Callithrix jacchus: one gene and its partner. The protein of the gene in region 1 purifies or fractionates together with the protein of each later gene. This does not show direct contact. Links are inferred from orthologs where the notes say so. Each region holds a gene or a part of one and is shown in the gene's direction. Other genes may lie near its edges.

What was found. Proteins that work in one complex are often made in the same cells at the same time.
Region 2: the proteins of PTP4A2 (region 1) and RABGGTB purify together in Homo sapiens (affinity purification with mass spectrometry; 3 studies listed by BioGRID and IntAct, counting the BioPlex papers as one, with this or other methods). This does not show direct contact. The link is inferred for Callithrix jacchus from reciprocal best matches to the Homo sapiens genes PTP4A2 and RABGGTB.

The regions. Positions count from the first base shown.
Region 1 is NC_133508.1:68,517,433-68,520,498, reverse strand, and holds part of PTP4A2 (protein tyrosine phosphatase type IVA 2), read left to right. Parts: intron 1-1,654; coding exon 1,655-1,729; intron 1,730-3,016; coding exon 3,017-3,066.
Region 2 is NC_133508.1:112,975,441-112,979,550, forward strand, and holds the start of RABGGTB (geranylgeranyl transferase type-2 subunit beta), read left to right. Parts: upstream 1-1,255; 5' UTR 1,256-1,271; coding exon of another isoform or gene 1,272-1,274; 5' UTR 1,275-1,375; coding exon 1,376-1,390; intron 1,391-2,338; exon of another isoform or gene 2,339-2,417; intron 2,418-2,726; coding exon 2,727-2,834; intron 2,835-3,283; exon of another isoform or gene 3,284-3,367; intron 3,368-4,110. UniProt on the Homo sapiens protein: Catalyzes the transfer of a geranylgeranyl moiety from geranylgeranyl diphosphate to both cysteines of Rab proteins with the C-terminal sequence -XXCC, -XCXC and -CCXX, such as RAB1A, RAB3A, RAB5A and RAB7A.

The DNA.
Region 1 (3,066 bases):
TATATTATACTAAATAACATTAAATTACCTGAAAGGCAAGGAAATGAGAGAAAAACAAGTGTAATGATTTTTGAAAACAGTCTTGTCGTTTCATCTGGTTGTCTGATTCTGATGCCAGCCTGGATTTAGCCTGTGAGTGTTTTATTTGTCTCCCTATTTCAAGTAATCAAAAGTTCAGGTCACTGAAATAGGCAACAAAATTAAAGTAATTTTAGAGTTGGATGAGTCTATACATGGTTAATTTTGGATTGAGATGAATGGGAAGTTAATAGGTAGAGAGCAGATATCTGAACTTTAAACTCTTGAAAGGAGATGTATGGACAAGAATTGACTTTGATCTTAAAACCCTTTTCCCTGAGCATTCCTTGAAATGGTGTTGCAACACTATCATCAACAGCAGATTAAATGCCAATTTAGGATGCACATTTTGATTCAGAATATTGGTGTAGGCTGCCATTGCCTCAAGGTGGTGGTGATTCAGGCTGTTCTATGCTGGCCTTTTGTTTGCTATTTTCCTTTTTTGTAGTGTAATACTGTTTGTTTATAAGGTTAGAAGTTTTAGTCCTTAACCTGAAGGTTGAAGATAATGTTGTAACTTGGCAAATTTATAACTATCCTAGTTTTAGGTAGTCCAAAATTGGGGCCCTGTAATGGGCTTTATAAAAACATATTTCCTCTGTTAAATTTTTTAAAAAAGAGAACTTTTCTTAGTCATTAGTTCTTGAAAAAGTCTAGCAACTTTTTAGCATTTAATAAGGAAATATTAAAACCAGTTGGTAATGAAAATTCTGACACTGGAGATACATAATATGTTTGGCCATTTATTTTACTGTGATAATGGCTAAAGACCAATGAAGAATTTTTGATAATATATAGTGATGAGAAATTTAATATATAATATGATATTTTAAAGAGTAAAGATCTCTTAAGGTTTAGAATTTAGTGCTTTACTAAAAGTAGGTATCAGGCTGGACTCAGTGGCTCACACCTGTAATCCCAGCACTTTGGGAGGTAGAGGTGGGCAGATTACTTGAGCCCAGGATTTCTTTTTTTTCTTTTTTTGAGACGGAGTTTCACTCTTGTTACCCAGGCTGGAGTGCAATGGCGCGATCTCGGCTCACCGCAACCTCCGCCTCCTGGGTTCAGGCAATTCTCCTGAGTAGCTGGGATTACAGGCACGCGCCACCATGCCCAGCTAATTTTTTGTATCTTTAGAAGAGACGGGGTTTCACCATGTTGACCTGGATGGTCTCGATCTCTTGACCTCGTGATCCACCTGCCTCGGCCTCCCAAAGTGCTGGGATTACAGGCTTGAGCTACCGTGCTCAGCCGAGCCCAGGATTTCAAGAGCAGACTTGGTAACGTGGAGAAACCCCATCTCTACTAAAAATAAAAAAAATAGCTGGTCATGGTGGCAGGCCCCTGTAGTACCAGCTCCTTGATAGAGTGAGACCCTGTCTCCTCCACACACACACAAAAATCATAGAATTTATAATGATTAGTTATATTTACTGTATTAGGTAGGTATTGGCTACTTTAGCATAGAAGAAAAAAGAAAGCTTATGGTTTGCTTTGGTAATATGAAGTTATGGATCTTTAAAAATTCTTTCACTCCAAGACTTATGGATATTTACATACAGGTTTCTTTCTGCAGGGCACCTGTGCTGGTTGCACTTGCTTTGATTGAATGTGGAATGAAGTACGAAGATGCAGTTCAGTTTATAAGACAGTGAGTATGAAGTTTTGTGTTCAGAAATACAGAAAGGAAGATCATGAATGAGGAAGGAATTATGGAAGTGGGTATTCATTTGTAGTGTGGGATAATTTACTTTCTTTGGCTTAAAGTGTTATTTGAAGATGTAAAAACTTTAGAGCAAGTGATAGAGACTCAGTACAGCTGGCTTCCAGATTTAAAAGACTTTCTAATTTGGGTGGCAAATTTGGACATTATAGAATATGTCCAGTATATTGTTTGAATATCTAGGAATCTCGAAAATGCCCCTTTTAATAGATTCCAAATACCTTCCAAATGCAGTTCTCTATTAGGAGGAGGCAAGAAGAATGTATAGAGGAGCAGTTAATCACCTGGGTCTCTTAAGTGATCTGTTCAGGCACAAAATCAGGATGGTAGTGCCCAGACAGGATCTTGGCATCTGGAATAATGAGTCTTCCATTTTATTATCCAGAATTATTTGACAATTTTTGTCTTGCCCTTTCCCTTTGAACCTTTCATTTAAAAAATGAAAACCAAAGAAGAGACTATTTGTGACAGAAAGCATGAAATAATATATGGTAGCGGCTTTAGGAAGGTAACACATTTCAAGGAATGTCATCAGTGTATGTCTTGAGCCTGCTTCTTTATCTTATTATTTTTTAGCATCCTAAATATTTGCTACCAACTCTAATCTGAAGAATATATCAATCTAATTGGGAAGAATATAGTCAGATATTTCTGGATAAACTATTCTGATCTTTATTAAATGGTTAATAGGCCATAATGATGGTCAGCAAGGAAAATTTTTCTTTTCCTTCTTCTAGGAGGACTCAAAGTTCATGTTGCAACTTAGCTCTTAAGAAGTGTTGGCCAGGCGCGGTGGCTCATGCCTGTAATCCCAGCACTTTGGGAGGCTGAGGCGGGTGGATCATGAGGTCAAGAGATCGAGACCATCCTGGTCAACATGTGAAACCCCGTCTCTACTAAAAATACAAAAAATTAGCTGGGCATGGTGGCGCATTCCTGTAATCCCAGCTGCTCAGGGGGCTGAGGCAGGAGAATTGCCTGAACCCAGGAGGCAGAGGTTGTAGTGTGCTGAGATCAAGCCATTCATTACACTCCAGCCTGCGTAACAAGAGCGAAACTCCGTCTCAAAAAAAAAAAAGAAGTGTTATAGTGTGAGAAATGTGCTGGTTTTCAGCTGTGTGGAATTAGAAAGGCCTTAGGACATAAATAATGCATTTCAGTGAATCAGACAGCTCTTTTTTTACCTGATAAAGTTTGCTATTCTTGTATTTTCAGAAAAAGAAGGGGAGCATTCAATTCTAAACAGCTGCTTTACTTGGAGAAAT
Region 2 (4,110 bases), about 44 Mb from region 1:
ACATTAATTGAAGTCAATGGCTTATAAAGAATTTAAGGCCGGGCGCAGTGGCTCAAGCCTGTAATCCCAGCACTTTGGGAGGCCGAGGCAGGTGGATCACGAGGTCAAGAGATCGAGACCGTCCTGGTCAACATGGTGAAACCCGTCTCTACTAAAAATACAAAAAATTAGCTGGGCATGGTGGCGCGTGCCTGTAATCCCAGCTACTCGAGAGGCTGAGGCAGAATCCCTTCCACCTGGTAGGTGGAGGTCGCAGTGAGCCGAGATCAGCCACTACACTCCAGCCGGGGTGACAGGAGCAAGACTCTGTCTCAAAAGAAAAGGAAGAAGAAAAATGTTCTGACCAGACACAGTGGTTCAGGCCTGTAATCCCAGCACTTTGGGAGGCCCAGAGGAGAGGACTGCTTGCATCCAGGAGTTCAAACTACAACAAATGATTTCCTTCCTTCCGGAGTTCAAACTAGAACAAATGATTTCTTTCATTCCTTCCTTCCTCCCTTTTTCACTAGAACAAATAATTTCCTTCCTTCCTTCTTTCCCTCGCTCCTTCCTTCACTCCATCATCCCTCTTTCTTTTTCTCTGTCCCTCCCTCTCTCTCCTTCCTTCCTTCCCCTCCCTCCCTTCCTAACTAGAATAATTTCCTTCGTTCCTTCCCTCCCTCCTTCCTTTTTTCTTTTCTTTCTTCCTGTTTCTTATTTATTTATCTCTCTCTTCCTCCCTCTCTCTCCCCGCCCTGGCTCACTGCAACCTCCGCCTCCTGCGCTCAAGACATTCTCCTGCCTCAGCCTCCCAACTACGCTGGGAGTACTCAGCCTCTACGGCCACTACGGCCAGCTAATTTTTGTATTTGTAGTACAGGCGGCGTTTGCTCATACTGGTCATGTTGGTGTGGAACTCCTGACCTCAGGTGATCCGCCCGCATCGGCCTCCAAAAGTGCTGGGATTACAGGCGTGAGCCACGGCGCCCGGCTCAAATGATTTCTTAAAAGCAACTCAGATATCTAAATATTATTTAAAGCTGTTGCTAGACAAATCAGACTGACTACAGAACGTGAATATGGGCGCCAGAGACTTTGGACGCAGGCAGCTGAGGACACCTATGAACAATCAGTGGGGTCCTACGGCAGACTAAGAACCGCTCTGCCTTTCAGGCGGAAGTGTGGTCAGCTATATCGGAGGGCGGTGGGGGCCTGAGAGGTGTTTCTGCGCAGGCGTCCGGCTCCTAAGTCTACCCAGGAACTGACCCTTCTCGCTCTTTTCGCTGTTAGACATGGTAGGTGTGCGTTTGGTGCTGCTGTCCAGATGTGTTGGTAGCAGACAGGGTGGTGTAGGGTTGAGCAGACTGATCGCGGTAGGTTTTCCTGGTGCTGGAGAATGGTTAAGACACAGGTATTGTAAGGTTTCTTGAGGGTGAAATATTACTCAGCGTTTTCTGCAGACCTCGCGGGTAATTTCGCTTCTAATTTTACCCAGGCCGTCTTCTCTTGGGAGGGCCTGTTAAGAGTTGAGTCGTCCGATTTCTTAATCCTTCTAAAAAGCTAGGGCTGATTGATGGGTTTTTTTTTTTTTGGAGGGGGGTGTCAAAAATTTCTTGGAAATCGTTAGTGATGTGATCTCGCTTGACGGCCTCGTAGATTTTTTTTTTTTTTTTTAAGAAGGGGTTTCACCATATTGGTCAGGCTGGTCTTGAACTCCTGACCTCAGGTGATCCGCCCGCCTCAGCCTCCCAAAGTGCTAGGATTACAGGCGTGAGCTACCGCGCCCGGCTGTCCTCGTAGCTTTTTGATGGGATTAATGGAAACTTCGGTACTTAATCATTTCCGGTAATCTTCATGACCTAGTATAGTGACTGCAGTGTACTCTCAATAAGGAAGATAGAGATACGAAAAGAACTAGAGCGGCATCCCATGGGGACTTCTGCAGATAGACTCGGATTAAAGGTGGAGAAGATGGCGCTAAAGGAAATGCTTATTTAGTCTATTTGAACATCTTTTGGGGTACTTAGAAGGTGCTTTGAAACCTGCATTTGATTAAGCAAGAATTTGCTTGCAAATTAAGGGCTAGCTAGATTTTTTTAAAAAATGATTTCTACCATACGTAAACGGTAAGTTGTCCTGAAATGCTAAGCTTTGATATTCTATTGTGTTTATTTTTTTCGAGACAGTTTCGCTCTTGTTGCCTGGCCTGGAGTGCAACGGCGTGATCTCGGCTCACTGCAACCTTAGCCTTCTGAGTAGCTGGCATTACAGGCGTGAGCCACCGTGCCCGGCCTAGTGTTTATTTTTACTTACCTTTTTGAATGAAAAACGAACAAAAAATGCTGGTGGTAATTTTTTGGGTCGATGATGAGCTGGCATGTATTCTGAATCTAAAGTTGATTATTACTACTTTAGCTCTAGAATTACTCTGAGACCTGAAAATTACCTGAATTGTGACTAAGATGGAGCTTGAATCATTTAAGTTCTTTTTTTGTCATAAATATATACATACCTATACTTTATTTAGAGTCAGGGTCTTCCATTGCCCAGGATGGAGTGCTCCATCTAAGCTCACTGCAGCCTCAATTTCCTGGGCTCAAGCCATCCACCTCAGTCTCCCTAGTTACAATTTTTAAATGGAAGGTTTTCCTATTGCAAGGTGAAATCAACTGAAAATTGTAGAATCTGCTGTGGGGCAGAACGTTGTAAAGGTAAACATTGAGATTACTGCTTTTTTATTTTGAAAGGGCACTCCACAGAAGGATGTTATTATCAAGTCAGATGCACCAGACACTCTCTTATTGGAGAAACATGCAGATTATATCGCATCCTATGGATCAAAGAAAGACGATTATGTACGTATGGTTTTTTTTTATGTTGGAAAGTTTAAAGAAGCGTGACAGTCATAAGCAGTGAGGGAGTGTTTATAGTCATCTTAAAACGGTATCCAACTCCATTCAGAGAACTGAGGATGTGCTGTGCTTTTGGATTTCAGTTAAGCGTGCCTTGAATGCCTGAGGTTGTGGACTTACTAGAATCATAGTTCTGGCCGGGCGCAGTGATTCACGCCTGTAACCCCAGCACTTTGGGAGGCTGAGGCGGGCGAATTACGAGGTGATTGATGCTGGCCTGACCAACATGGTGAAACCCCGTTCCTCCAAAAATACAACATTAGCCGGGCGCGGTGGTGCTTGCCTGCAGTCCCAGCTACTCACCTATACTGAGAGTGCTCACCAGACAAAGTAGATGAGGGTTTGGGGCACAAACAGGTGTCCCTTTTTGTAGTTAGGAGTAAGACTTTCAAGGTCAATGATGTTTTGGCATGTCTTATCTGAATCTACTGCTGATGTGTAATAACACTTGAGCTCTAGAATTACTCTGAGGCCTTGAAAAAGTTTTACCTTAAATTTTTAAATTTTGAGGAAAGCTCTCTGGGACAATCTTAGCCAAAAGTAGTAAACAACTTAGTTAAGATAAATGTTTTTCCCTGTGGTATCCAAGCTCAATTGTGTTAAGCTGATCTGCTGATATTTAGGATATATGGTATGTATTAATTTTTTACTTGAGTGTTAGGTTCTCATAACCTTGAAAATACTGGAGTAGCAGTCATGGAGTCAAGGTCATACGGATGGGGCCGGACTTGTTTCTGCCTTTACCTGCTATCTGCATGCTCTGAATTTGGGTTAGTAGCGAACTGAGCTGCACTACTTCTTAAAACGTCATTTTGAGAGAACCTCACTTTGTTGCCCCGACTGGAGGGCGGAGGTGTGATGTGGGTTCACTGCAACCTCCACCTCCTGGGTTTAAGTGAGGCACCTGAATAGCTGCGATTACAGATGAGAGCCACCATACCCAGCCACAAAACTTCTGAAAATGTAATGCATTGTTGAGTGTGGGAAGAATTTGTTTCTGGAATCTTAATGTTCATGTACCATTGATTAGCCAGTGTTTTATCTGAGCTTAGACATCTTTGGCATGTTTAGGCCATTTTGGTTTTCATGTAGTTATATAATTTACTAATAGATAATAGGTTCTGTACAGACTCCACATTAAAATACATGCCTGATAAATATGGTATAGGTACTCTGAAAGAAATATTCTCCCTGAACTTTACTGATGAAAACAGTAGAT